Notamacropus eugenii: one gene and its partners. The protein of the gene in region 1 interacts with the protein of each later gene in a biochemical or structural test. Links are inferred from orthologs where the notes say so. Each region holds a gene or a part of one and is shown in the gene's direction. Other genes may lie near its edges.

The links.
Region 2: the proteins of guanine nucleotide-binding protein G(q) subunit alpha (region 1) and RGS4 form a complex in vitro, tested with the Homo sapiens proteins (3 studies listed by BioGRID). The link is inferred for Notamacropus eugenii from reciprocal best matches to the Homo sapiens genes GNAQ and RGS4.
Region 3: the proteins of guanine nucleotide-binding protein G(q) subunit alpha (region 1) and PLCB1 form a complex in vitro, tested with the Homo sapiens proteins (2 studies listed by BioGRID, with this or other methods). The link is inferred for Notamacropus eugenii from reciprocal best matches to the Homo sapiens genes GNAQ and PLCB1.
Region 4: the proteins of guanine nucleotide-binding protein G(q) subunit alpha (region 1) and GRK2 form a complex in vitro, tested with the Homo sapiens proteins (3 studies listed by BioGRID). The link is inferred for Notamacropus eugenii from reciprocal best matches to the Homo sapiens genes GNAQ and GRK2.

Annotation. Positions count from the first base shown.
Region 1 is NC_092872.1:67,954,949-67,963,032, reverse strand, and holds the start of guanine nucleotide-binding protein G(q) subunit alpha, read left to right. Parts: upstream 1-5,053; 5' UTR 5,054-5,342; coding exon 5,343-5,478; intron 5,479-8,084.
Region 2 is NC_092873.1:483,813,233-483,820,619, reverse strand, and holds the start of RGS4 (regulator of G-protein signaling 4), read left to right. Parts: upstream 1-4,328; 5' UTR 4,329-4,451; coding exon 4,452-4,495; intron 4,496-7,387. UniProt on the Homo sapiens protein: Inhibits signal transduction by increasing the GTPase activity of G protein alpha subunits thereby driving them into their inactive GDP-bound form. Activity on G(z)-alpha is inhibited by phosphorylation of the G-protein.
Region 3 is NC_092872.1:580,611,945-580,619,383, forward strand, and holds the start of PLCB1 (1-phosphatidylinositol 4,5-bisphosphate phosphodiesterase beta-1), read left to right. Parts: upstream 1-4,266; 5' UTR 4,267-4,734; coding exon 4,735-4,833; intron 4,834-7,439.
Region 4 is NC_092873.1:19,721,489-19,729,539, forward strand, and holds the start of GRK2 (beta-adrenergic receptor kinase 1), read left to right. Parts: upstream 1-4,900; 5' UTR 4,901-4,915; coding exon 4,916-5,592; intron 5,593-8,051. UniProt on the Homo sapiens protein: Specifically phosphorylates the agonist-occupied form of the beta-adrenergic and closely related receptors, probably inducing a desensitization of them. Key regulator of LPAR1 signaling.

The DNA of each region.
Region 1 (8,084 bases):
CCCATCTATCTCATCACACGTGCAGGCAGTATACTAAGTTCTGGAGATACAAATAAGAAAAGAAAGATAGATTTTGCCTGCTCTCTTGGAGTTTACAATCTAATGGATAAAGACAATAAACAAAAGGAAGCTGAAGGGGATGGGGAGGGGCAGCAGGGAGTCCCCAGTGTATAGGTACAATATAGGTACAATGTTCTCTGGACTTTAAACTAAGCTGAGCTTAGAGCTTAAGATGGAAAATGAAGAGTTACCTAGACAATTCTGAAAGTTCAGAACCCTCTATAAAGAAACACTGTGGGAAGTTCACTGCTTTAACCTCCAGCCCTCCAGTCAGAGGGAGGACGCAAATGAGGAAGTGAAGACGGTGGTGAATCTCAAAAACCTGAGTCATCTGCATGCTGATGAAGTGATCAGATTATCCAGGGGATAGAGGATAGGGATGGGGTGCCATTGGGTTTGGGAAGAGAGGAAAAAGCTTGCAACAGTAGCTGTGGCGAATGAGACAGGGAGTCAATAATGGAGAGCAGAAGGAATATTGAGTAGCAGTAAAGGTTTAACTGAGGTTATGAACCATACATTTGTAGTGGATGGAATCAGCTCAGTTTTATCACTTTCTCCAGCAATGCTCAGCAGCTTAGACGAAGTGGAAAAATCACATGACAGGAATTATCCAGAGACGAGAATTTGCAGGTCCAGAATGAGGGAAGGTTTGGAGGCAAAAGATTCTAGGGTAAGTGGTAACTTGTGAATCATTAAAGTGGCAGGTAAGGGGGCATGAAGGAAAGTAAAGACAGAGTGGGAAAGATGGAAAACAGGGTCAAGTGACCAAGGGTCATAACAAGGGTGAAGAGCTGATTTTGTGAATTGAAGGAGTGGGAGAGATACAAAGAGAGGTTAAAAGTTTCAAATCTTGGAGGTAGTAATAATAATTCTGAGAGATGGTGAGTGTATGCCTAAAGGAGGATGAAGAAGAAAACTATTGTAGTTGGGGAGGCTGAGTCATTATTTGGTCTTGTTGTCAGAGCAGTCTTTTCCTTAAACATTGAAGTATGTGAGGGTAATGGCAAAGGGGTGGGGTGGAGAGGAATACTATGAACATAATGCTTGTCACTGAGGAAAGTTGGAAGAATACACTGAAGGATCCATTCTTCACAGATGTTAGACATTTATCAACATATAAAAGTAAATCCTTTTAATACTTGAAAGAGGAAATACTTAATATTTAATTAATACTTAAATTAAATACTTACTTAATACTTAAAAGAGGAAAGGTCAGGGAGAGAAGATTGGTAGATAGATATGTAGAAGTTCAAGTGAAAAGGATCACGGGCACTGTTCCTACCAGTTCTAAGAGTTTGGAGAATGGAGAGGTTTAGAGGGATGTGCTGTCCTTAGGAGAGAGTCGATTTTAAGTTAAAATGAAGAGATAGAAAAATGTTGGTTGTCAAATTCAAGGATATACTGCAATTTATTGAATTTTGAGTGTGGTGTAGTGAGATTAGTTCTGAAGATGGTAGGTAGACAAGTGAGGTAATATAATTGAAAAAGCTTTGGAAACTCTAAATCACTATGCAAATTTAAAGTATCATTATTAGGCTCAGACCTGGAATTTTCCTTCCCCATGGAGAACTATTATTCTCTTTCTCCCTCTCCCCACCCCCCAGTTCAGTTTTGTTCCCTTTTATCTTGTTTTAATACTGAAGTGCCATTTTCCTCCATCTTAATACTTGTAACACACAAAGGCAGTCTTCATCTTGACTTCAAATACTTGTATAAGGCCCTGTCTACCCAGTCCTGAAACAATCATTCAATTTGCTTAATTCAGTCAAGTAATGGGTTAGATCAGTCAAAGTGGATAGTTTCATGCACTGGAGACTTTGTAATAAGTTTCCAATGGTCCCTGCTCCCTTAGATCACCAGTCATTGGTTTTTGTGGGTTCTTGATCCTCATTTGATTTCCTGGTCTTTTGGAATACACACACATGTACGTATGTACGTATGTATGTATGTATATACATACATATATACACACACATCCAGACACATACATATGAAACATAAATATATACAAGAACCATATATATGAAAGAAAAATCATAATTAAATTTTCTTCCCTGCAGTCATTCTAAAATTCTGCAATATTGAATTTGAATATTTAATCGCATTAGTCACTTAATTTTAAATTTTAATTTCTTATCATGTGTAGCAGTCATTTATTAGGGCTTTAGCAGTGCGGGAGGAGATATTTGCCTTCCTCATTGTCAGGCAAGATGGATTTTTATAGATCCCTTTTGTCTATGACTTAAAAAAGGCAGTAGGGAACAAGTGGAGCATGGGGCTGGTAGATCCGAGAATCTGAGAACTTGTCTGATTTTCTTCCTGACTTGTCATATATGGGGAGTGAGCAGGTTCCAGCCCCTAAAAACATTGAGATGATGTTTGTCACCTTGTAGAACCCTTTGTACAATTCTGCACCTGTGGGAGATTCCAGTGGTAGTATGGCAGTGAAATCTCTTGACATCCCAGGATGAACACATTAAAACAGAGAAATCTTCATGAAATAAAGCTTCAGTGAAAAAGGAAGATCCCAGGACACATATTACCCTTAAAACATCAGATTCCAGTAAGCAAGGAAGGAGTAGTTTCACTTCTTGAGCTGCTGGATCATCCAAAACTCGAAATTCACAGGAAGTCCTACCCTGTTATCAGTAGAGTATCAGGACAAAGTAGCCAAGCAACATCAAAACAGTGTCAATCAAAACTAGAGAAACAAGAAATGGGAAGAAATTTTGCTGGAATGAACGTTTATTCTGCTGTTTATTTTTTGTTTCATTGTTTACATTATTCAGTCACACATAATTTTGCATACTTAAAGAGCTAAGCTGTCATTAATTCTTTGTTTTTCGGGGAGAGGGAAAGAAGAGAGAGAGAGAGAGAGAGAGAGAGAGAGAGAGAGAGAGAGAGAGAGAGAGAGAGAGACAGAGACAGAGAGACAGAGAGAGACAGAGAGAGAGAGAGACAGAGAGATTGAGAGAGACAGAGAGAGAGACAGAGAGAGAGACAGAGAGAGAAAGAGACAGAGAGAGAGAGAGACAGAGACAGAGACAGAGAGAGACAGAGAGAGAGAGAGACAGAGACAGAGACAGAGAGACAGAGAGAGAGAGAGAGAGAGACAGAGAGATTGAGAGAGACAGAGAGAGAGACAGAGAGAGAGACAGAGAGAGAGAGACAGAGAGAGACAGAGACAGAGAGAGAGAGAGAGAGAGAGACAGAGACAGAGACAGAGAGAGACAGAGACAGAGAGAGAGAGAGAGAGAGAGAGAGAGAGAGAGAGAGAGAGAGAGAGAGAGAGAGAGAGAGACGAGGGGAGGGGGGAGACAGAAAAACAGACAGAGACACAGAGAGTGAGACAGAGAGACAGATAGAGAGAGAGACGGAGAGAGACAGAGAGAGATTTCCTAACATGTTCAAACGGCTGGCATGATTTCCAAACCAGAGGGGAAGCTGGTAAAAAAAAACACCAAAAACAATGAATCTCAGGGGCATGAAAAGTTACAAACGTTGCCTGTGAAACTCTCGGAAACTTCAGCAGTTTCATTTCTCGGCTCAGGATTTCATTTCAATCAGAAGTAACTTTGTGGAAGATTCCCCTCCCACCCTGCCGGTGGGGAATGAATTACAAATTTGGCCCCCCTTCAGCCCCACCCCACGATTCCAGTCGAAGTTTTCCAAGGATGGCCTAAAGGTGGAGGTGGTGTGAGGTGGTTTGTAATTCAATGGCATTTTTGAAACTAGGATCTTTTTTTTAAAAAGTATTTTTTGTAACGCTGCCCTCCAGGACAAAAACGCCCCTGTTCCTCGCGGCCATCGGGGGAGCGCCGCGCCGGTGGCAGACTGGCGGGGTTGCTGGGAGTGGTGTTTGCTTTGCAAGCCTGTCCACTGGGTTTGGAGGCTGGAATTCGTGGGATTTCCAGGAGTGTGTGGAACTAGCTGTATCTGTGTCTGGTGGGCAGAGAACCGAGAGCGAAAGCCGCCATATTTCTGCCTTACCACGCCCGGGAGGCTAAGCCCTGGCAAAGGCAGGTTCGCGGCCGCAGCTGCCGGTGCTGGATTCACACAGCCCACCGAGGGCGGGCGGCAGCGGGCGCGGCGGCAGGCGGTGGCCTCGGCAGCCCGAGCCTCAGCCTCCGGCCCTCCTGCCGGCTCCTCCCCCTCCTCTCAGCCGGGGCCAGCGGGCACAGCCCCGACAACCGGCAGAGGAGGCAGCAGGATCAGCACACGGAGAACCCCACGGGGAAGGGGTCGGGGAGGTGACGAGAAGTGGAAGAATCCCCGGCACAGAGACCCGGGAGGAGGCGAGCGACACCACCTCCTCCAGCCTCCAGTTTCACTACCATCCCCACCGCCGGCACCTCCTTCTCCTTCTCCTCCTCCTCCTCCTCCTCCTCTCCCCCGCGGGCGCCGCTGCTGCCGCTTCCCTCCCGGATCTGGGCTCCAGTTGAGAGAAGAAAATGTGTGTGTGTGGCGAGGGGGAGGGAGAAAGCTGATCAGCCACTCACCAGGGCCGGGGGGTGGGCATCTGGCGGAGAGCAGAGGAGGAGGGGGAGGGGAGGGGGAGGAGGGAGGGGAGGAGGGCCAGGAGGAAGAAGGGGGGTGTGTGTGGAAGTGTGTGAGTGTGTTTGCGCGCGAGCCCGGGGTGGGTGGGAAAGGGATCCCGGCGGGTGTCATCTCGGATCCAGGGGGGCGCAGGGGGAGTGGTGTCAGGCGGGGCAGGGGAGAAGGGTGCGCTCGGTGTCTGTGCCATCGCGGCTGCTGCTGCTGCTGCCCCTGCTGCCGCTGCTCCTGCTGCTGCTGCTGCTGCTTCTGCCGCCGCCGCCGCAGCCGCGAAGCTGCTCTGGTGGATGTTTCTGTGTGGCTCGGTGCATGATTTAGAAGAGGAGGAGGAGTTGGATCTAGCTAGTGACAGAGGCAGGAGGCAGAGGGGGTGGGGGGTGGGGGGAGGTGGTGGTGTTCTGTGAGAGAGGCCGGGGGAGCGGGCCTTTCCCCCTCTCTCCTCCTCGCACCTCCCGAACCTCCCTTCCACCCGCTGGTGCGTTCGGGCCCCGCCGCCGGGATCGGGCTTCGCCGGGCGTGCGGTGGGCGGCTTCGGGAGTCTCCCACCTTCCCCTCCCCTTCCCACCCTGCCTTACCCCGGACCCCCCTCCCACCCCCAGTCCCTCTTCCCACCCCCAGCCCAGGGGTTAGCTGCCGCCGCGGCCCGCGGCGGGGAGTGAGGAAGGAGCGCGCGCGCGCGTGTGTTTTCTGGGGGTACTGGGGGGTTGTGTCTGAAGCAGTTAGGAAGAATGACTCTGGAGTCCATCATGGCGTGCTGCCTGAGCGAAGAAGCCAAAGAAGCCCGGCGGATTAACGATGAGATCGAGAGGCAGCTCCGCCGGGACAAGCGGGACGCACGCCGGGAGCTGAAGCTGCTGCTGTTGGGTAAGTGGGAGAGCCGCCTCCCCTCGCTCCCCGCCGACTTCCCTTCCTTTGCCCCAGCCACCGCGGCTCCCTCCGCCTGCCCTCTCCTCCGCCTGCTTCCACCCTCGGGGCAGCTGCCCTCCGCACCCCCAGCCGCTGATGTGCTCCCCCAGCACCCCTCCCCCAGCACCCGACACATACACACATACACACAGCACACCACCACGCGCGCGCACACACACACGCACACATACACACACGCACACACACACACACGCACACGCACATACACGCACGCGCGCACGGTGCCCTTATGGAGTGGATCTTTCTGTATGCCTGCCCTACGCCCCCCAAGTCCCCCTTCCCCCGTCTTCACAGCTATCGTGGTGTATGTGCCCGGGTATATGCACACCCAAGGGCTATGCATAGTGTATGCGTGTGTATCAGATGTGGACACAGTGCAAATGAAAGTCGTATCATGGCAAGAGGGGGCAGGGCATGTGGATTTGGGGGTGAGGGAGGGGGAGTGAGAAATAGGGATTCAACTCCCAGTATCTTTGCCTGAGCTCTGTGGGAGCGTGCTATTTCCGTTAGGATAATTGGAGTCGGGAAATTGTGTTCGCGCACATATATCGCATCTACCGTGGATCATGTTCTATGTAGATCCCTATATATACATTTATGTACAAACATATTATCTATGTACAATAGATACTACAGGTCTGTGCTTCCCTGGGTGCTTGTATTAGGAATGCATTTTGGGGTGTAGGGAGGCTGAAACAGTGGGCTTCAGAAGGAGGTTCGATGTGGTGACATGGAGGAAGGGGATGGTGGTGGTGGCTCTCGGAAGCTAGGGCAAAGGAGGCTTAAAGTGAGATGTGAAAAAGAGGCGGCAAATGTTGTAAAAGAACTGAAATTCTTTTGCAACCTGGCGACTAGAGCAAGAGCGAGAGAAGATGAGAGCTTCTTGATGAAGGTTGGGGGGCAGGCTTCATTAGCTAGCTTCCCCGTCCTTCCAAAGGAAAGAGACTTGGGGTCCGAGGTGTTGGGGTTTGTGGTGGTGAGAGTGGTAGAGGTTGTTGATGTGATGGAAGCTTTTGGTTTCATGTGGCTTATCAGCCACATGAAGGACTCTCTTTAGAACAGGTCCTAACTGGAATCAAGAATCCAGTCCTCAGCTACTCTGTGGAGCAGAATAGTGACCTATTGTGTGTTGGAAAAATGACAGTGATTTAACACCTCTGGAACTGGCCCATTTGGGCCAGAAATAAAACGGGCAGAGTATAGGACAGTTTCCCATTCACCAGGGGGAAGAAGTGAACCTTCCAATTCTGCTCTGTTAAGGGGATTGCAAAAAAAATGTCCTTTCTCAGATAGGAATCTGTAGTGATGCTTTCTTTGGACAGTGTTTTAAGCATTTTAAAAATCAAGAGATTAGTTTTCACATGCAGTACAGTGTGACACAATTCTTAATTACTGTGACAGGAACAGTATAGGGCTTTGGAATAATAGGCCTGAAAAATGTCTGCCATAGTGTTATGGATACTTGTGTGTGTTGGAAATCCATTACATAAAATTTTGTGTTGGACAAAGATTACTGTTATTAAAGAGTCTAAGAAACACATATCATCTTATCTTGAACATTCCATCTTCTTTTGCAAAGAGCTATTCTGTTGTTGAAGCCCTATTGTTTATGTGCTGGATCAATTAAAGAGGAGGAACAAAATAGAATAGTGGCAGAAAGATACAAATGGTTAGTTATACATGTTGTAAAGAAGCAAGCAGAACACGTGATTCACTTTGGAACACGGTTAGACAGATTTGCACATGCTTAGTTTAAAGAGAATGGAAGGCAGAGGGACTGAAGGATAAAATGTGGGCTTTAAGGTAATAGAATGAGGGATGCAGAAACCAAGACTTCATGATAAAGACTGATTCAAATTGAGGGCTACTTTTTTAAGGGCTGAAATTGAACCAACTGGATAGATGAGATATTCTCTACAATGAGGAAATGTGTCTCTTGTAGAGCTGCCTCATTAGAAAGCATAAATGTGTCATTTTAAACTTTTTCATTTCAAAATGTATTTTTTCACCTGACCTGCATTGTGCCTTGAGTTGTGTCTGTTTATGGTTTGAACAGCAGGTTCCAGGGTTTCTAGCCCTTACTCTAGATAGTGCAACAAATGTTTCAGTGGCTGGACTTTTCAGGACTTTCTTGAGAAGAGCAGAGGGCAGACCGTGTAATGGCCTCAGAAACTTGTCCCAGAAGGAAGATTTTAGTTACTTGTAACTATGTATTCTATTTATTTAAATAGGCCTGCTTTGTTTTTAAATGAAAGTTAGTGGTGGTTTTCTAGGAGAGGGGAAGGGGAAGAAAACAATTCACATCTACTGTACTTCTCTGGACTAGAGGGTCTGGGGAACATCTGCTGTGACTCCCCCACCCCTCTTTTCCATCCATAAGTTGAATAAGCTTATTAGAATTCCCTTCCACCTAATTAAAATCTCCCCCTCCCAATTAGCAATAGTGGTGTAACCTGAAATTAAAGTTTAGTCTTTAAAATCATGAAGATTTAAAAGTTACATAGATCACTGTAACACGACCCTATAAAGTAGAATTGTCAAGT
Region 2 (7,387 bases), on another chromosome or scaffold:
TCTATGGTACCATAAAGGCCAAGGTCTCCCATTAAATCCCGGGCCATCTCTCATCATCCTGATGAATATCTGGTCACTGGATCCAGATGGCTCAGGAGGAGAAAGTGACACTGGTGACCTTACACAGCCCTCTCTCTCTCAAAACAAAGTCAAGTGCAAGTTATGTCATAATTTCTCTGATGTCATGGTCCTCTTTGAAAACCAAGGAGGAATACAACGGCCCCCTAATCAGCTTGAAGAGATTATAAGAAATCACTGAATTTATCAAAGGTTGCCTTAATCAACACTCATTACAGATAGGGCAAGTACTATTTTCAGATAGTCAGTGGTGGACTTGGGACTTTGATACATGCCTTTACCTCAAAGTGCAGTATTCTTTGACTAAGTCATCCTCAGCCTTTTGTTCTTTCCGGTAAACAACAGCCATGTAATTTGGCTCTTCCCTGTCTCCATGCTTTCTCCCCCTACCTACTACCTTTGAGCAGAAAAGGATTTTATATTTAATTCTAGAGGTAATAGGGAATCACTGGACTTTATTGGTTGGGGGGGTGACATCAGGTATTCACTTTAGGAAGATCACTTTGATAGATTGTGGTGGATGGAATGGAGTGTGGAGAGACTTGGGGCAGGGAAACCAATTTGGAGACCAGCCATAGTACAGGTGAGAGGTAATGAGGATGAGGAAATTAACTAGGGCGACAGATCTATCAGTAGAGAGGAGAGGGAAATCATTCTCGTGTAAGTGTAGACACCTGCTAGGATTTAATAAGTAGCAGCCAGACATACTAGGAAAAATACTAGGCTGGATGGGGCTCCAGAAGCTTGTTTCTAGCCCTGGCTTTGCCACTAATTAGGTGTGTGTTCTTGGACAAATTTCTTAAGCTTGATTTCTTCAATGGACTAGATGACCTTAAAATTCCCAGTGACATCTGTCCCATGATATTTCTATTTGAACAAGGAACAAAATTCCTTTTTGGCTAAGACTTTTAAACAAATTAAGCTCTAACTGGGTAATTTTTTGGCATCAGGGCAGTGAGTCAAGTGGATTGAGGTGCATCCCTGAAATGACATTGTGGAGCAAGTGTTGGACTCAAAGAATGTTAATCCCTTTGAGGGTAGGGCTTGTTTTAATTTGTGTCTTTTTTTCTCAGTATCTTTACATAGTACCTGCACATGGTAGGTGCTTCATAAATGACTGATAGATTGAAATGTTCCTTGGGAATGCTAGTTCATTTTTCATTTCTGTCCAACCCTCTGCATGCCCTTATAGAGGATAAATGAATTTCATTGCATAGACCCTATGCCCTTAGGACTATACAATGAAATTCATTTATCTGATATTTTTCCATCATTGAGCTTATTTAATTAACAAATCTGTTGACAGAAAAAGGTAAAGGAAACCACTTCCAGCTAAAGGGGATTTAAAGTTTGACTTTCCAGAAAGCTTGCTCTTGACCCTTCAGTTCTTCCAGCTTTTCTCCTGCCAACTGTTTGTTATCTAATCCATAATCTGCTCAGTCCTAATGCAGTTCCATCATTCACTCCTCTGCTGGCCATGGGCTCTTTATTTAAATAATTTAAATAAACGAAAAAACAAATAATATTTATATATGAATATATTTTTATATATACATTACATTATTTATCTCTGCAGGATGGAGATATGAAAAGAAGACTGGACTTGGAGACAAAAGACTGCGCTTTACAACCTGGCTCTTCATCTAATTAGCTAAGGGACCTAGAGTAAGTCATTTGTATTACCTGAGTCTCTGTTTTGTCCTTCTGTAAAAATGGGCCGGAGCTGCACTGCCTCCCTCACTAATTTGTCCTGAGGGTGCAAAGAAGGTTATGCATGCGACATCCAATGAAATCCAACAAGCGTTTATAAAGCACCACTATAATCCCTGCAGAAAGAACCATCCCTGACAAGAAAATGTTTGCATTCCGCAGGGAAATGCAAGCCGTCAACAGTGTCAGACAAACGTTGTTACTACTCCGCCTTTAGGACACTTGCTAGTTCAGCTTTCTACCACAACTGGCTAGTGCGGATTGTTGTGCCTCCACAGGTGTGTCCTGAAGACCAAAGGAGATGCAGTCAAACGCTTTGTAGGATGGAAAATGTTACAGAAAGGTCAGCTTTTGTTGCTGCATTGTTTATGTCTCCTTGTCTCTGCAATTAGCTTTGAAAATAGAAGCATCTGTAGCCAGGTACAACAAAACATGGTTTCTTTGGCCTTCTTCGGATGTTCCTGAAGAATATGCCTTTGACTAGCATACCTGGTCCTTGCCTCCGTTTTCGAACGTTTCAAATAGAAATGAGAGCCACCAAACCATTAATGAGGAGCCTTGTGGACATACTGACTTAGCTTTCAAATGTAACATTATCTAGGTTTTGTTTTATTTTTTATTTCATTAAATATTTTCCAGTGACATTTCAATTTGGTTTTTGAGACTTGTTTGGAAGTGTCATGGGTCTTTTGTAGCCAGGAGTGATTGACACTTCCCCCATATCCTCATTCTCTGTCTCTTGAAATCCATGGCTTGTTCTACCAATCTAGTATCCCCTCCTCCATGAAGACTTTCCTAATCCTCCCAGTTTGCCCACCCCGTCACTGAACAGTTTACAATGATCTTTTCCTCTTCACATTTCTCACAGCACACTGGCTATATGCTCATCAATCCCTTGTAGGAAGGTTACTTCTGAATATTTCATTCCTGCCAATACATGATCTATCTTGTATTTGGGACTGGACTTGTGCGTTCCTTAACACAGGGAATTCCCATATGAAAAATCAGCTCCTTCCTTGCTACTCACAGTTTTAGAGAGCTGCTTAAAGCACTGAAAGTTCGAGTGATTTGTCCTGGGTCACCCAGTCAGTGAGTGTTGGAAGTAGTCTTTGAACCCAGGTCCTCCTGACTCCAAGGCTAATTCTCTGTATGCTACACCATGCTGAGCATAGTCCGGGCTTGATAAATGAGGGTTCAGTTGAATTGATCTCTGACATTTGCTGAGAAACCCATAGATCATGTCTAAAGGAAAACACATCTTAACCACAGAAGGTGATTAACAATTGATTGTTTAATTGAAATGATCATTTAATTGAAATGACTTGAATATGTGAAACATTTACTTAATCATCTGGATGATTCAGACTCATGATAGCAAACATCCTGCTATCTGTGTGCATTGGTATGGCTGAATTTTTCAGTTTTCATCTGATGCTTGATGCTGGTTGATAAAAATCCAAATCGTCCCCTCTGAGATAATAGAGCTGAAGTTCAGAATTGTAGGAGATACAGATGTTTTTGTAAAGAAAAACACATTTTTTTTTTTTTAATATTGGTTCACACACTTCCTCCTCTGGTCTTCAAGTAGCTATTCTATCCTGAAATAGACATTTCAATGAGAGTTGGTGAGGCTGCTTGCCTTTTTTTTTTTTTTTTTTTTGCTATATTTTTATTTTTGTTTTTTGGCCCTATAAGGTTTCTAAGGACACATTTTGCTGGCAGGCTGATTATAGGTGTAGCTGATCCATATTTTCTAGATGTGTTCTCTATTCTGTCAGGCTAATCACCATCTTACCAGGTTCCTTTTCCCTGTGCACTCCTTTGCAACATGCCAGGTGTTGGTTCAACTTTTGCAAATCTCTGCTGAGAAATTAGAGCATCCTGATGATTTTCATTTGGAAATGGGTGATGATTGGTTTCTGTATTACCTAGAAGGGTTGCTGAGAACAGGCGATAGGAATTATCCACAAAATAAGCCCACATATTCCTGCTAACACCTTAGGTTCCTTGAGGTAGCTTTCTTTCATTCTGCAAACCAGAGGCAAACACAGAGAATGAATGTCAGAGCTCAGAGATCATCTAGTGCAGATTCATCCTTTTACAGATGAGAACTGCAGGTGATTATTCATTGACTCCAGGCTGTGAAAGGGATAATGACTTCTCAGGTGTCAAAAGCTAGTGATAGAGTCAAGTCTAGAATTAATTCCCATTTCAGAACTCTTAATTCCTAAAGTCCCATCTTTTGAAAAAATCATAAAGCTTTGTTTTATTTCTTTTCTGGAAGCCCACACATCTTGAAATAGATATCTGGTTGGGTATTGGGGTAAAGTTTTTCTCTTGTGTGTGCTTTCTTTCTTTCTCTTCTCTTTTCTTTATCCCCCATTTATTCATTTGGCATTGTTCATGCGTCAGCCTGTCTTTTCCTCATTTCTCTTCCAAGGGTTGGAGGAGGCAGAGGGGAGGAGAACCAGTGCCACAGTGCTGCCATCTGATTGGCTGGCTGGGCTGGACTGGACTATAAAAGAAACTCGGGCAGGTTCAGAAGGAAGACTCTCAGAGGAATCTGACAGCATCCTGTCTGAGACAAAAAAGACTCAAACAGAGGCGACAGCTGCTCCTGCCGTGTTTCTCATCTGCACTTTGAAGACAAGCAAGAAACCAAGATGTGCAAAGGACTTGCTGCCCTGCCAGCCACTTGCTTGAGGAGGTAAGGTTGTTTTCATGCACTGATTATGACAGATGTGCTCTATTAATCTGACACCACTTGTGCAAGGTGTCCCAAAAGTCTTGGTGCAGCTTGGTGCTCAACCCTGCAGACTTTGAGGATATCCTGTGTTTGCATTCAGTCAGTGCAACACCAAGTTCCTAGAATTTTCTCAAAGACTAGATATGAATAGTGACTTAAAGAATTTTTTTTCTCCTTCACTTCTAATACCTATATGCTCTATAACTGGTTCTCCGTTAGAAGTCTAGGACAGAAGTGTGAAATTTTTGTCTTGAATGCATAGAAATCTGTATCATTGTCTTTGACTGATGTTTAGTTAGTATTCCTGGTATGTGAATTTTCTTAATGCATCCATTTTTATGCTGGCAATGAGTATCGACTAGACAGTTTTCCTCCAATGACATATCACATTGTTGCTATAAAAAGTATACTATGGTGTAGTGAAAAGAGTGCTCTACCTGGCTGTTTGACCTTGAACAAATTAGCCCCTTTTCTCTGGGTTTCAGTTTATTCTTCTGTAAAAAAAAAAAAAATGGAGAATTAGAGTGGGATAATCTCTGGGATTTCTTTGAGTTCTACCATTCCCATTCATGAATTTTATCATTCTGTGATCTATATTATGCTGTAAGAACTCCTAGTATCAGGGAAATACTTTACCAAAAGGGGTGTTAAAAACCGATATTCATCAAAAGCCTGGTGACTTGGTGTCTTATGTTTTCTATAACATATATTTGGAGTAAATAGCATAGGGACACATCTGTGCCTTTGGAAATCACTTGGTTTTACTACCAGAACTTATGATTTAATTAACAACTGATAATCTAGCCAATGCAGGGAGCTCATCCCAGCTCTTCTACATTAGCACACAGGTCTCAGTCTAGCCATAACAGTCAGTAACCACAGTGTGTTGAACTGTACTCTTAAAAGTTTTTAAATGCTTTGCTACTGTTCATTTGTCAAAGAAAACTCACTTTAAGACATTTTGCTTATTTTGAAGATGTCTGTTAGAAACTCATGGTTAACTTTTATTAACCTGTCACACTCCCCCCCAACCCTTAGTAACTGATGGGATGTTGTGCACAAAGTTGGTGTATGCTAAGACATAAAGCTACATTTTCATATAAACAGAACATGTTTTCAAATCTAACCTCCCTCCCTCCTTCCCAGATTTTGAAAGGCTCCATATGAGTGCACTGTGATTGAGAGGAGGTTTGCACTGTAGACATTCTGTAAAGGAATCCACAGAGGATTAGATCTTAAAGATGCTTCCATGTTATTTAACCTTAAAGGCAATTTCAGCTGCTGACATGTATATAGCTCTTAAGAAAATGGACCAGAGAAATGCCTCCAGGGCACCCTAGCACATAAAGCATTTGAATAAATAAATGAATGCTGCTGTTACAATATGTTTCCTTCCATGCTTGTCTTGAAGTGGAATAAATTTCAGTTGTTGTTGTTTTTAAAGCAAATTCAGAGCAAGGTCATGCATCAGAGAAAAACTTTAATTTCTTACTGATAACGGATTCCACTTTACCAGATCCCTCTGGTTCTTACTAAAGAATTTGCCATCAATTCCAGGACAGCCTCCTCCCCTTGTCTTTCCAAGGACAGTCAGAAAGATACAACTGATCTTAGAAAGGGGGCAGTCATGTCTGGATTCTATTTTGAACCTTGAATAGATTAGTGATTCTTTCTTCCCCTGGTCTAGAGCAAGTCACTCAAGCATTTCTGGGCCTAAGCTGAGTCTCCACAAAGCTATCAAATACATCAGTGTGGGGAGGGAGGTATACTTTCCTAACAGCTTTGGACTTCCCATTAAAAATTGGACCTGAACTCTGCCTCCTAGGTGAGATAAGAGTCTTTGTTTGACTAGGAGAGCATCAACCCTCTCAGTTTACAGCAGAAGAAATATGAGGTTCAGAGAAATGAAGACATTTGGCTAAGGTCACACAGCTTTTGAGTAACACAGTGAGGGCTGGTACCTGTAGACATCTGCCTTCCTGCCCAGAACACTTTCTACTAAGCCATAGATTTGTTCTGTCCCATCTACCTCTAAAATGTCATGCTTCTCTTGATTTGAGAATTGCTGAATTACTGTCTAGGAGAATGATCCTGCATATAAATGGACTGTTAACCCAGAGCAATCAACTGGAAGCTAGCTAGGGAACTTAACTGAAAGTTGATTAAAAAAATCCTCCTTGTGGACTTAAGTGTAGCCTAGCTACACATCAGTCATAGATAACGTGCTTTAATTAAAGCAGGTTGTTGGTGTTAATGACTATACCAGCTGCTTTTTCCTAAGTCCTGAGCCCGGTCCTTCCCCCCCTTTTCCCAATCTTGCATGTGTTTTTAATCTCCTTTATGAGATATTCAGTAACAATAAAATGGTGGTGGGAGGGGCAGAGAAGGGGATCCTAGCTTTAGCACTAGCAGGCATATATGACCAGAAAACTAGTCTTTTTAAATTTTTATTGTTTGAAGTTTAACGATCCCTTATCTCTCTTCTTCTCCATCCCTCCCTCTTGCTTGTACTGGCACCAAACACCCTCCCTTAGAGTCCAACAATTCCCTCCACACCTGGTATCAGAAACCCATAGTAAAGACTGAGCTATGAATGCCTTGTTGAGGATGCAGGAAGCATCCAGTGACTCCCCTCCCTTCCTCCCTCCCTGATAGCTGCATTGCCTTTTTGTACTCGTCAGCACTGCAGTGTGGTGTCTGAGTTTGCAGGCAGCCAGGAGGTAGGCTGTGATTTCAAGGCTTCCAGTAGGTGGTGGCACTATGAAGAAGCCAATTCTGCACAGTTACTTTGTCATAATTGTAGTGACTGCTTGCTTTCCTATTAAAAATTAATATATGTAATAATTATCCAGA
Region 3 (7,439 bases), about 510 Mb from region 1:
ACAAGCCAGACTGTATAGGCCTGAGGAATGAGTGATAAAAGAGTGGAGGCAGCAAGTATAGATAACTCTTTCAAGGAATTTGACTGAAAGAAGAGATATAGGATAATAGGTAACAGGAATGATGCAATTTAGAGATATGGTTTTTCTTGTTTTTTTTTTTAAGAATGGGGAAGACAAGCATGTTTGTAGGCAGCAGGGAAAGAAAAGTAAAGCTTTGAGTTACATAAAACACTTCTCACAACAATGCTGTATAGTATATGATACAGTTATTATCTCCCTTTTTATAGATGAGGTTAATTAAATTGCCTATGTTCACACAGCAACACTTGGAGTTTGGAGTCAAACCCATGCTTCTTAATTCCTAAGTACAGTGGGATCATTAAAGGTATCATACTATGCTTCATAATTTTGAATAGATTTTTTGAAATATCTAGACAAATAAATAAATAATAAATCATATGCATGTTTTTGTGTGTGGGGATGATGGGTTTATTTTGGGGGGATGTTGAGTTTGAGATGCCTATAGGCCATCCAGGTAGAGGTGGTCAGTGTGCAACTGTTAACTTGAGAGAGAGACTGGGGCTAGATATGTATGAAGATCTGTGAGTCATCTGCAAAGAAATGATAATGAAATTAATAATAGCTGATGAGGTTAATGAGGGAATCTAGGAATGTTTTATAGAGTACCTTCCTTGCCCATTGAGACCATCATAAAAATTTCCCCCTTTCCTTCCCAAGATGTCTTTGTACCATTTGTTAAAAATTAAATAGAACATTGTACAAGATGCATTGTTGACTTGGGGCACCATGTCATTTATTTTGTTCTTAGATGTTTCAAAACTTTACCCCAAATTGCATATTTTTCTCTCCAATGTAATCTCCAAATGGGTGGCAAAATGAGAAGAGGCTGGTTTAAGAGACCTAGTTTGTATATAACTTTATCCACTACATTTTAAACCTTTTTATCCTGTAACCCTCCCACACTACAACATTTTTTTAGGTAAAAGAAAATCCAATCTTACTTGCAGGTCAAGGGAAATTCAATAACTAAATCATGCTTTTGTTTTAGTGATGGTGTTAAACTCAAACAAAAGTTCAAATTCCCATAGCTCTATCATCCTTCAAGTACTTATAGCTCTTAAAGGCTGTGTAGTGATTGCAAAATAAAAATTAAGTCAAATCTTTCATTCATGTAATCTCAAGTTCATTTCTGATCTTCTTATCTCCTGTTCTGAAAGCTACAACAATGTGGGTTTCATTAAAAATATCTCCTTATTCCTTCAACACATTCCCTTTTCTCAAATAAGGGAAAAACCTTATTCACCTGAGGGTATTTGGGGGCACAGTAGCTCTTTTTGTTTTTTTAGGATTGAAAGGAAGCAGAAATCGAAGAGAGGGATCATTGAGTTGAACAAGTGAACTGAACTTAATTTATAAAGTGAGTAAGGATGAGGGATGGGAGGGGCAAAATTGTAAAAACCTTAGAGAAAGCTTCTCATTTTCTAACAATAGCTGACATTTACAAAGCTGTCATAGCCCTCAGGAACCCAAGGTCATTTCCATACCATGGTGCAGGAAAAGCATTTCCCTCTTGCTCCTCCCAACCCCCTACCCTTTCCGGAGGTGGGGTGGAGAAGGTCACAATGCCGAAGGGCTAAGAGTCAGCTTAATAACAACAATAATAACCTGACACTTATATAAGTCTTTAAGGATTGCAAGCACTTTGTATATGCCATCCCGTTTGATCCTTACAACAACTCTGGGAAGCAGATTCTCCTTTTACAGATGAGGAAACAGGTTAAATGACTTGCCTACTGTCCCACAGCTAATAAGTAGGGAGGATTTGAACTTAGGTCTTCCTGACTCTTTTCTATATGCACTAATGCCACCTAGCTGCTTCCAATTTTTATACTATTTACAACCATTAGCTAAACTCTTGGCACTCTACATGTGAGTTCCTTGTCCAGTGATTCATAAATAGACATGCTGCTAGGGGAAGTACATCCTATCAGTTTTGACATTTACACATCACTTTTACATATACATCACTTTTACATTACTTTATTTATACATTATTGTATTTGATCTTTTAAGCAACTTGGTGAGATAAGTATTACATTATTATTACATATATAATATATATACATATATAATACATATTAATTATTATTACCACTTTACATATTTAAAAAGTGTCACAGAGGTCATCAAATGACTTGTTCATGGTCACATAGTAAATTTTAGAGACCAAGACTTGAAACCCAGTTTCACCAGACTCTAAATCTAGCACTTCTTTTGGAACATCACATTGACTCCTTACTACACACTTTGTGTCTGGAACAGAAAAGATGGGGAAAAGGTGGGGTTTTTTCTATTGTTGCGTTTAAATAGGCTATTCGTTAATTAGTTGAATTGACAAATAGAACTGAACCTTGAGCAGAAGTGTTTTTATTTTAGTCTCTTTTTTTGGTGGATTTTTGTTTGTTTTTTCAGAAAGTCAGAATCACAGTTGGAGAGGCAGCATGACAGAGAAGTAGTTTTGTAGTCTAGAAGACTTGGGTCCTGCCTAGAGTTGTCTTTTTCTACTAGGTACTGACTGTGTGATCCTGGGCAGATAATTTAGCCTCCCAGTTCACCCTTAGTAATCTACATTTGGGAAAGGGACTTTTCTCACTAGGAGTTCTCAGTTCCAAAGAAATAATAGGTCCAGACCAGGAAAAATAAAAACACTCATAATTAAGGAAAGTTCTATACAGAAGGCTGATCTCTAAAAAGATTTTTTGACATCAGATAACAGAAAAGAAACAACTTTATATAGTATGGGATAAGTGGACATTGTCTGGACTTAGACTCAAGAGTGCTGGGATTCAAAGCCCCTTTTTGACACTTAGCTAAGATAATTCACTTCTCTGAGGTTGTTTCTTTATCTTTCCTCGCATTTCTGACAACTAAATGAAGGACTGTTGTGAGGAAAGTACTTTGCAAAATTAAAATATAAGAATGAATTTCCATTATCTTTATGAGGTGCTTATGTCTGGGTTTATTATGATAAGGACGGTTTGAAAAGTGGTAGGGTGTACTTTTCCAAGTATAGCAAGGAACAAAGATTCTAGGAGAAATTAAAAAAAAACAAATTTAAAAATTAAGGCATTTTTGTTCCTAAATTGCGTAACAGATTTTGAGTTGGCAGGTTATTTAGTCCAAGACTAAACTGAGGAAACTGAAGGGTTAACTGACTTGCTTAAAGTCACACAGGAACTAAAGTATAGAGCCACATTAGAACTCAGGACTTAAACTTCCAAATTCAGCACTTTTTTCCTCTGTAGTACTCTAAGAAAATTAACATTTTATCAACAGAATAGTTCCAGCGTTACAGGAAACACAATCTGAAGTCTGGAGAGAAGAATTTTCCCCCTATACAACAGTTTTAAAATTTTCTTTTAAAAATACAATTTTATTTGATAGTTTTTTGTTTTCACATTGCTTAAATTTCCTTCTGTTCTTTTCTTTATTAAATAGCAACCACAAGACCACAAACAAAAAACATTCCCTTGCTTGGAAGATGACATTTATGTACAAGTATTGCAACCAGTTTTTTCAGGACTGTCCTTTTATCTTCCTGCAAATACAATTTGCCACTTTCTCTTGTGCTAAATACTAGTGTAAGAAGTGTACTCGGACACAAAGCTAAGGATGAGGTGTCCAGGGGTGCAGATGAGCCTCAGGAGATGTATCCAATTCATGTCTCCAGGCTGCTTACTATCTCCTCCGCCAGTAACAACTGTCCATTGTGTTGCGGGCTTCAGCACTACGATATTCTCATTTGGGGGTACAGGATGGTCTCCACCAAAAACCTACATCCCTCTTTCTCCGTCCCATTTCCCCCTCAGCCTGTCTCCCCGTTTCCTCTCCTCTCCTTGCTCAGTTTTTCACCGAGCCCAGAGAAATGCAACCCTCACATCCAAGCCTCCAGCCCCTGAAAGGTAACCGGGCATGCTCACTGAGCCTCTCCCAAGGAGAAAGTGTCTCGTTGTAGCAGTGTCCTGAGACCGGGAGGTGCCGCTGCGCCCCTGCTGCCTTCCATTCGCCTGACCCAGCGGAGAAAGTTGGGCTCCGGGAAAGGCAAGGGAAAGGAGGGACGGAGCCAGCGAGTGTGGAGGGAGGGGAGGGAAGTAGGGTGGGAGGGGGACGCCAGGAGCGTGTGTCACTCGCTCGCTCCACTCCCTCTGTGTATATAGGATGTGCTGAATGGTGCTCTTCAGACCCGCGGCGGGCGCGGAGGAGGCAGCGGAGGAGGAGCAGATCCTGAGCCCCAGTCGAGCCCGAGCGGGCGGCAGCGGGAGCAGCGGCGGCCGCTACGGCTCCAGCGGGCTCCCCCGCGCCCCGTCCCTCCAGGTCCGCCGGCCAAGCCTCGGTACCAGCTTCGTCCCTCGCTCGCCCGTGCTCGCTCGCCGGGTCTCCTGGGCATCTGCCGCTGCTCCCCGACGGGCGCCCGACACCACTTTCCACGGAGGGCATGGACCGCTTCCTCTCCTGCCCCGCACTCCTGCGCTGAGCCACCTTCCCCGCGGTGAACGGAGGGGAGGAAGGAGAGAGGGGTCGGGGGAAAGCCAGAAGAGCCCCCCGCTTCCCGAGCCAGTGCAGACCCCAGGCCCGCCCCCTCCCCGTCTCCCCACTTCTCTCCCCTTCTCGGATTGTCTTTTCTCCTCCGCTGGCAAGCCTCCATGTGTGTAGATGGCCGGGGCACAGCCAGGAGTTCACGCCTTGCAACTCAAACCTGTCAGTGTCTCGGACAACCTGAAGAAAGGCATCAAATTTGTCAAATGGGATGATGTAAGTGGCCTCCCTTGGCGGGGGAGGGGGTGGGAGTGGGGGTGGGGAAGGTGGGAGGAAGCACACGCGTTATGCAATGGGCATAGTGGATCGATAAGGGTGCCAGAAAGTACACATGTTGGAAACTGCACAGGCAGTGAAAGGGCAGTGTGCGTGTGTGTCTGTCAGCGTTCAGTATTTTACATCCTTAAGAGCGGAAAGCAAGGAGAAGAGGATTTTTAAAAATCATTACGCTAATATCTATGGCAAGGCTTATGTTGCCTTGACAGGTCATTATAATTCGAAAAGTAACGTGGGTGGTACTTCTGACGGGTAGACAAGTGTCCTTAATGTGCATTGGGAGAAGGAAGCTTCTTTTTCCTCCTACAAATGCACAACTCCCAAGTCCTCCATCATTCCTCCAGAAAAATGACCATTTGGTGCTCTGAGTTATTAATTCAAGAGTGGCAAGCTGCTGCATTGTACCTTATTTAAGTGATCTGACACCAGACGGTATGGGCTCACACCACAGGTTGTTTGCTCCCAAACTTAAGTCTCTGTCTTCTTCAAAGTAGGGGCTCCAGGGTAAAGGCTAACGGTAGAGAGGGAGCATAAAGTGGCATTTTGTGGATTGACAAGGGGGAAGAGTCAATAGCTTTGCAGGTGCTGCCTGCTAATTTTCTAGAGCTTCCAAGGCTTTTAAGGCAATAGCTTGAAAAGACCCTGCTGTGAAGTTTTACCCTGCAGTGTCAGGGGGCCTAACATGGTAGCGGAGACAGAAGGGCAAGGGATAGATGAGAATTGTCATAATTTCAGGACCCCACAGGGCTCTGAGAGTTTTTCTCCTAAGAATCTGAATCTGAACATGACATTCATCCTCAAGAGACATAAATTAAACACACACACACACACACACACAATATTGAGGGAATAAGTTTGGACTGACAATAGGGAATTAATTTTTATTAATACTACATCCTTGATTTCATTCAGAATTTATTGGTATGAATTATTCATTGTGATAAACATGAGACTTCCAGGGTTGAGGGAGATTTAAGTCCAAATGATTGAGGCACCTCTTAATCAGGAGTAATTATAGGACAGTTGGGTACCCTTCTTGTTGAGAATGTTTTCCACTCAGCAAATTACAGACTATTATCCTTCAGAATGTTTCCCTTTTAATAATCTTATGTCATTTTTCTTCCATGTGAAAATAATTTAGATGGTCCAGGTAGAAAATCCAGTTACTTAACCCAGTATATTTGTTTCTATATTTTGTAAAGTTGGAAGTATGAATAGAGAAGGTACAAGATTTAACCGTTTCCTTGTCAATTATCAGAGGCAACAGGCAAAGAATAAAAACTGTATATCTTTTCAACAACCCTATCCTGATGGAACAGGACTTTTTTTTAGGGGTTGGGGTGCATAAATAATTTAGAATATAATCAGTATGTTCAAAGAATCCAGTAGATATTTTGTCTGGGTCAATAAGTCCATCAATAAAACTTATTTCCTATAGAGATTTTTGTTCATATTCAGTCCCACTTGATAGAGAATCAGTGTAATCAGAACTACAGAGCAATACAAAGGAGACACCTGTAACAGAGGCGTAACAGCCTAAGATAAGATGTCTTAGTGTAAGCTTTGAATTCCTTTACCTTGTTTTTCTCATAACCATATACTTTATGCAAAACCTCATTGCTTTCTTATTTGATTTGCATGCTACCACAGAAATAAACTAGGATAGAGTAGAAAGAAAAGTAAACTAGTCAACCATAACAAAATTGAGACTAAGGGTAAGTAGGGTACTTAACTACTTAGACCTCAACAAGTAGAGGGGCTGCAATTCAGGGCATTTAAAAATGTTACTCTTTATAAGTGCACATATTCTGAGGTCAGAAAATTCTGATCTCTGTGGTTCACTGTATTTTACTAGGAAGTCCGAAATCTTGTAGTGGACAGCAACACAGAGGATGTACGAATTTTAAAACCTTGCCCAGCGAGCACACACATGCCTTTCCAGTTTTTATCAGAGGTCTTGGTTTCTAACTCTACCTCTTCTTTAGTTCACTGGGTGACATTCCATTCCATTCTGGGTCTCATTCTTATTTCTTCAGTGGAGAACTCACCTGCCCTGGAACAGAACAGAATTCCCTGTGTGGATCCAGAGTGAATTTATGAGTGTTTTCTAGATCACAAGTGGTCAAGTATTTGATAGTTAGTTTTCTCATCCTTGTGTTCCATTTAGTCTGGACTACTGACCTTAGCCTGTATCTTTTCCACCTAAAGAGAGGGTGAGGATCCTTCTTAATACAGGTTTTGCAGTAATTGAACTAGAAATACTGGGCTAGGGGTTGAAAAGCCTGGGCTTTAGTCTTGGCCCAGGCCATTATTAATTCTCTCGTAGCCTCAGCTTCCTTATCCATAAAATGAAATTATTATTATGTCAAATGAGATAACATATGACAGTATGTCATAAGTCTATAGAATCCCATACAAATATATAATAAAATAACTAACATTTGTATAATGTTTTTCTATTTACCACCTTCTCCATACATTTTGCTAATTTGGTCTCTGTGATAAATATACCACTAAGCCCATACAAATTTTACCTTGCATATAAA
Region 4 (8,051 bases), on another chromosome or scaffold:
TTAAAGATATCTATAGTCATATGAAAAAATGCTCTAAATCACTTTTGATTAGAGAGATGCAAATCAAAACAACTCTGAGATACTACAATACACCTATCATACTGGCAAACATGACAGAACAGGAAGATGATAAATGTTGGAGAGGATGTGGGAGAGTTGGAACACTAATTCATTGTTGGTGGAGCTGTGAGCTCATCCAATCATTCTGGAGAGCAATTTGGAACTATGCCCAAAGGGCTACGGAAATGTGCATACCCTTTGACCCAGCAATATTGCTTCTAGGACTGTATCCCCAAGAGATCATAAAAATGGGAAAGGGTCCCACATGTACAAAAATATTTATAGCAGCACTCTTTGTAGTTGCCAAAAACTGGAAGTCAAGGGGATGCCCATCAATTGGGGAATGGCTGAATAAATTATGGTATATGTAATGGAGTACTATTGCACCATAAGAAATGATGAACAAGAAGACTTCAGGGAAGCCTGGAAGGACTTATATGACCTGACGCTGAGCGAAAGGAGCAGAACTAGGAGAACTTTGTGCACAGCAACAACCATAGTGTGTGAGAGTTTTTTCTGGTAGACTTGGAACTTTGTAATAACGCAAGAACCTTTAAAAAAAAAATTCCCAATGGTTTTCTAAGGCAAAATGCCTGCCACACTCAGAGAAAAAACTATGGAATTCATTCGCAGAATGTAGCAGATCATGTTTGTGTGTGTGTGTGTGTGTGTGTATTATGTTTTGATTTGTTATATGATTTCTTCCATTTATTTTAGTTCGTCTACATAGCATGACTATCGTGAAAACATATTCAATAGGAAAGTATATGTAGATCCTATATAGAATTGTATGCTGTCTTGGGGAGGGAGAGGGGAGGAGGGGGGTAGGTGTGGAGGGGTTAAAATCTAAGTTTTATGGTAGTGATTGTAGAACACTAAAAAATAAAATAAAATTTTAAAAAATGCTGAGAAAAATAACTCCTTAAAAATCAGAATTGGTCAAATGAAATAAAAGAAGTATAAAACATCACTGAAGAAAATAACTCCTTAAAAACAAAATCAATCAAGTGGCAGTTAATGACTCCACAAGATATCCAGAAAGAATAAAACAAAATCAAAAGATTAAAAAAAAGGAGAAAAGTGTGAGATATCTCATTGGAAAAACAGCTGATTTAGAAAATAGACTGAGGAGAGATTACTTAGGAAGTATTGGATCCCATATGAAGCCCATGATCCACAGAGAGAAAGAGAGAGAGAGAGAGAGAGAGAGAGAGAGAGAGAGAGAGAGAGAGAGCCTAGACATCATATCTGAAGGAGTTATAAAGGGAAACTGTTCAGATATCACAAAGGGCAAAATAGAAATTGAAGAATTCACTGTTAACCTCTTGAAAAAAATCCCAAAATGAAAAGTCAGGAATGTTATAGCCAAATTCAAAGACTCCCAGTTCAAAGAGAAAATACCGAAAGCAGCCAGAAAGAAACAATTCAAATATCACAAAGCCACAGTCAGGCTCACACAAGATTTAGCAGCTTCCATGTTAAAGAAGTGGAGTATAATATTGGAATATATATAATATTGGAATATAATATTCCAGAGGACAAAGGAGCTAGAACTGTAACCAAGATTAACACAATCTTTCAGAGTTTGAAAAAAGGGATATTTAATGAAATAGAGTACCTTCAAGCATTCCTAATAAAAAGGCAAGACCTGAACAGAAAATCTGACATTCAAACAGAAGACTCAGGAGAAGTATAAAAAGGTAAAGATGAGTGAAAAATCACAAGGGACTTAACAAGGTTGAACTGTTTACATTCGTATATGGGAGAGTGACATATGTAACCTCTAAGAAGTTCATCATGAGTAGGGCAGTTAGGAGTCTACTTTGACAGAGGGTATAAATGTGAGTCTACTCTTCAAAAGAAGAATAGAAAGGTGAGAAAGAGGGATGAACTGGGAGAAAGGGGGAGGGAGGAGAATGGAGAAATGATCTCACATAAAAGAGGAATACAAGAAAGAGTTTTTACAATGGAGGGGAAAATGGGAGTGGGGGAATGGACTGTGGTTGAATGTCATTCTCATCTGATCTAGTTCAAAGAGAGGGAGCGAGGAAAGGATTGGGGAGAGAGATGTGTGTGTGTGTGTGTGTGTGTGTGTGTATGTGTGTATATACACACATACATACACACACACATATACATATGTTTATTTTTATACACTCACAGTTGGGCATAGAAATTCATTTTACCAACAAGGAAGTATGAGTGGATGGGGCTAAGAGAAATGGGGGGGGGGGTAAGAAGAAAGAGGATAGGATTAAGATAGGCAGTGACTTCAAACAAAACAGACTTTTAATGAGGGGGGAGGGGAAAAAGAGAATAAAAAGAAGAAAATAGGATGGAGTGAAATATACAGTTAGCAATTATAACTGTGAATGTGAATAGGATGAGTTCACTCATTAAATGGAAGAGAATGGATTAGAAACCAGAATCCAACAATATGTTTGTTGTTAACAAAAAACACACTTGAAACAGAAAGACTTACACAGATTTAAAATTAGAAGCTACAGCAGAATTTTACTATGCTTTGGTTGAATAAAAAAAGGCAACGTTAACAATCATGATCTAAGAAAAAGCAAAAGTAGATAATTAGAGAATCTAAATCTATCCCATATATATTAATAATATATAATAGACAATATCTAATAATCTAATTAAATAGATCTAAAGAGATAATCAAAGATATTGTATTTTGCTAAAAGTTACCATAGACAGTGAATTATAATAATACTGAACACAGAGGCACTAAATAGCAAAGAATCCAATTTTTTTCTTAATTTTTGGTTTGGTTTTTGAAGGATCCAAATTTTTGAAGGAAAAGTTAAATAAGTTACAGGAGAAAACAGTAAAACTATACTAATGGGAGGCCTTTTTGTATCCCTGGTACTTAGCATGCCTGCTTGTTGATGAGCTGATGAATGGATCCCGAGTATTTTTATTACCAAATTCAAACTCCTGTTTGATATTTAAAACCCCTCACAGACTCATTTTAACCTACCTTTCCATACTCTTAATCTGGACAAATACGTTGTCTTTCTATTTTTCATGAAGGACATTCTCTCTCCTGCCTGTTCCTTTCTATGGGCTGACTTCCATGCCTGGAATGTTCTTCCTCCTCTCGACTCTTTCACAGAATCTCAAGTTTTCTTCAAAGTTCAGTTCAAGCAAGACCTTTTACATCAAGCCTACCTGGATCCAGCCACCACCCCTCCCCACCCCCAACCCCACCTCCAGCTGAGAAAATCTACTTCCTAGTTATTTTGTATCATCTTTCCTGATCTAATAGAAGCTCCCTGAGGGGAGAGAGTCTTTATTTCTGCCTTTGTATTCCTGGTGTCTCGTAATAGTTGAATGAACAAGTATTTAAGTTTCTCCCACCCTGGACTAGGTCCCAGGATGCAAAACTAGCAAATGAAACATCCTGGGTTCTCAAAGGGCAAGGGCTTACATTCTAGTTTACTGATGGCTGGTTGTCTTGAAGGCCTGTCTTGGGGAGGAAGGAGTATGCTTGTTCTCCTTGGCTCCTGGAGGCAGAAGCAGGACTCATAAGTGGAAGTGGAGAAGTCAGATTTAGGCTTGATGTCAGGGAAAGGGAAAAGAAGGGAATAGGCATGTATTAAGCACCTCCTATGTACCAGGCACTGGGCTAAATATGTCATTCTGTCCTCCCAACAATCCTTCAAGGCAGGTGAGGCCCATTTTACAGGATGCATTGTCAGGATCGTTGTGTGGTGGTGACTCTGGAAGGTGTTAGCTTAAGATAACCTCCCCGTGAGCTCTCCGAGGTCTGACAGGCTGAAAAAGGCCGGCGGTGGCTCCCTCGGGGGTCCTCAGTCCATTATGACTATTTCCGGTTTATCCCGTCCGAGTCTGGTTTATACTTGGTTATCCGTCTCCCCTCCCCAATGAGCTTCGGTCTTCTGCCTTTCTGTGAATCCCCCAGTGCTTAGCCTAGTGCCTGGCACACAGTAGGTGATTGATTGGGGGCAGAGGGTGCCAAGATGCCCAGGTTTTTAGACTGCCTCTAAACACTCATCAGCGGTTGTCCGGCAGGGTGACTAAGGACAGGGATACCGGCCCCCCCTTGTCCCCTCAGTCCCTCTGTGCAGCGTGCTGGCCTGTGCGGGCGGCCCGCCCTCCCTAAGAGGACGGAGGCTCATCGAGGCCAGGCTACCCTCCTCCTCCAAGTATTTCCCATTCCTAGCACAGAGGGACTTGAGTTCAGGTTTGTGGGACTGAAACGGGCAGGTCTGGGGCCAGGGAGGTGGGGGGAGCCAGTGGGCCTGGAGCCCCAGGGCACGGCATGGAGGGCCAGGGCAAGATGGGGGGTTCCTGGGCCAGGGAGGCAGTCGGGGTGGGGAGGGGAGGCCGTCCATTGCCAAGGAACGTCTAAGAAGCGCCTACTATGTGCCAGGCAGGGCTAAGTTCCAGTGACAAGGCTCAGACAGCCAGGGCCAAGGTCTCGGAGATTCGAAGTCAGAATGGGGGGAGTCATGGGGGGCAGGGGGTACAAGCTGACTGACCCGGTTAGGGGCAGGTGGACACTGGGTAGTGCGGCCCTAGGGGGAGGTGTCGAGGTGCGGGAGGAGTGGGGGGAGGGTTCCCTGGGAGGGGGCGGGGTCTGGTGGGCAGCCCCTGGCAGGTGGGGGTCATATCTGCACAAGGAGGCACTCTGACGACACCCCTCCACCCCGGGCATCATTGGACGAGCCTACGTGGGCGGGGCCGGGGCGCGGAAGAAGAGGCGTTCTGGGGGCGGGGTTTACCCTAAGAGGGGACTGGGGGGAGGGATCGAGGCACTGTAGGGGGCGCTGTGGGGGGCGGAGGGCTGGGGGCGGGGCTTAGTCTGCAGCGGGCGATGCGAGTCAGACCTATCTCTTTAGGTAGGGGGCGCAGCTCTGGCTCTGCGCGCCCCCGCCCCTCCACAGCCGCCCCAGGGCGGACGCCGCGGACCCCGCCGGCAGGGGGCGCGGCGGCGCCCAGCGGGGGGCCGCGGCGGCGCACGACCTCGGCCGGCAGGGGGCGCAGCTCCTCGTCGGTGCGCTCCTTGTACTTGGCGCGGATCGGGGCCCCCCCCCAGTCGCCGCCCCCCCTCGCCCCGTGGCTGCTGCGGCGGCCGGGCCTGACGGGCGGGTGGTGCTCGGCTGCGCAGGCGGGGCCGGGGGCCGGAGCCGGAGCGGGGCAGGGGCCGGGGCCGCGGCGGGGCCGGAGCGGGAGCCGGAGGAGGCGGAGCAGCGGGCGCGGGCGTCATGGGGCGGCGCCGCCGCGTGTAGGCCGGGGCCGGGGCCGGGGCCGAGGCCGGGGCCGGGGAGGCCGGGCCGGGCCGCGGCGGGCGGAGGGCCTCGCCGTGCGGGGCGTGGAGGTCCAGGAGCGCCAGGGCAGCGGCGGCCAAGGCGGCCAGGGCGGCGAAGGGGGCTACAAGATGGCGGACCTGGAGGCCGTGCTGGCCGACGTGAGCTACCTGATGGCCATGGAGAAGAGCAAGGCCACGCCGGCGGCGCGGGCCAGCAAGAAGATCCTGCTGCCCGAGCCCAGGTGAGAGGCCCCGAAGCCCCCCCGGAAACCGACCCCGAGCCCCCCACCCCGAAACTGACCCTGAAACCCACCCTGAAACTGACCCTGAAATCTACCCTGAAACTGACCCTCAAACCCACCCTGAAACTGACCCTGAAATCTACCCTGAAACTGACCCTGAAACCCACCCTGAAACTGACCCTGAAACCCACCCTGAAACTGACCCTGAAATCTACCCTGAAACTGACCCTCAAACCCACCCTGAAACTGACCCTGAAACCCACCCTGAAACTGACCCTCAAACCCACCCTGAAACTGACCCTGAAACCCACCCTGAAACTGACCCTGAAACCCACCCTGAAACTGACCCTGAAATCTACCCTGAAACTGACCCTCAAACCCACCCTGAAACCGACTCCGAAACTGACCCTGCCAGAAAATGACCCTGAAACTTCCCCAGCCTGAAACTGAACCTAAACTTGGTCCCAGCCCCTAAGCTTAAGACTAACCCTGACACTAAACGTGGGACAGCCCTCAGAGCTCCCCCTCTCCTTCCATCCCTGACTGTCACCCTGGGCACCCCAGTGGCCTCGGCCGGACACTTGTCTCCTCCTGCTCTCCAGCAGTCCTTTCTTCTTCATGCCTGCCATCCCTCCCACCCCTCCTCCCCATACTGTCCATTCTGCGCTGCCCACAGGGTATCCCCAACTCATGCCGGCTCTGAGGCCTCATCTTTACTCCTCACACCTCCCCCGTGTCCATTTCAAACTTCTCATTGCCTAGCAACCCTTACCAATTTTCAGGCCCTTATTTCATCCCATAGACTCACCTAACCCCCCACCTGCCCCTCCAATCTTCTCCTTTCCTCTCATCCTCTCCCTCTCACCTCCAACACCCCACCCCCATGCTTACTCTGTCTGCTTATCACCTTTTTTCTCTTCTACTACGACTGTGATTTCTCCTCCTTAGACCCCTCTCTGTAACATACTCTCTCCCCTTTTACTATCAGTAATAAGTTCTTACTCTGGTTTGGCACTGAGATAAACGTTAGCGATACAAAGACAAAAGATAAAACCAGTTCCTGCCTTCAGGGAGTTTCCATTCTCATCTGGAGACAGTTTTCTGTTGGCCTGGCCCTGAACCTGTCCAGTTTCCCCCTGTCTTCCTATGCTTCTCCTACCCTCCTCAAAAATACCACTCACATCTTTGACTAGGACTTTCTCCTAATTCCTGCCTCTCCCTTCCCCACTAACCTTTGGCCAGAGATGGAATTTCAGCCAGTACTTTTGCTGAGGGATGACATTAAGGGGAGAAGACACATGTTTAGTGGCCTCTCTAGGGTACTTTCCACCTTGGAAGTTGATTTTGAGGATTTTGAGTCTGTCTTTCAACCAGAGGTGAAAGCCAAGGGGAATCTGTAGGGGATGGGATATGGCCAATGGTAAACAGCATTGTCGTCTCCCTCAGCCCCCAGACAGCTGGAGGGAGAGCCCCTTCCACTTGGGTGCCAGCAGGGAGTGTATAAATGCATAGCGTGGACCCAGATGCCATCTGTTCGTTACACTTGGGAGAAACACCCATGACGTCAGGCCTTCCCATATTCCTCCTCTGGCCTGGCTCCCCTGAGGTACCTAGAAGGGCCTGAGGTCTGCCTTGCCCTCCCTCCTGGACCATGTTTACAGTGGGACAGCTATGGCCTGATAATTCCATGTAGCAGCTGGGACACGGGTTACCCAAGGGGTGGCAGGTCCTTTCTGTCGTTTGTAAACTGAGAGCTTGGCCTGGTGCTTTGAGAGCCCATCCCAGATAATGGGGTGCCAGGGCCAGCAGGTTCCCTGGAGGGGGACAGCCTGCATGCACATGGAGTGTGTCTGGGTCAGGATTCCGAGGCATGAGCTCACTCTGGGTGTGACTATGTTTTCCTGGACCCTTGAGCGGGCTGGCTGGGTCAAAGTGAGAGTTGTGGGTGCCAGAGTCGGCCAGTGCTGAGCAGTGAGCCCCCCAGGCTGGCCCGTGGTACCCGCTCTCCTTTGCTCTCAGGGCATCTCCAGTCACTGGGTTTCAGATTGACTGAGTGTGGGGGACAGGAGAGGGGAATTTGCCTGCTGCTCATAAAGGCCCTTCCTTGGGGGCCCCTTTCTTTTCTGACTCTGGTGATCAGATTTCTGAAAACAGGAACTGGGGCTTACTGCGTGCGTGGTGCTACCCAGAGAGCACGGACAAGATGGGGCCCAGCAAGTTCAGAAATTGCCACGCTGGGGAAGGAGGAAGCTGGGGGAGCCCACAGCACTTGGAGTTCTTCGGGTGGGGACCCCAGAGGACCCAGAATGCACTAGGATCTGGCTGGATCCTGCTCAGGTGTAGGGAACCTGAGGGGCTGATCACTGCCTCTTCTCCTAGCTTCCCTTTTCTGGGACGGGAGTAAGCAAGGCCTCCTGCACTGTGGGAGAACCTGTGTGACCTTGGGGAAGTCACATCTC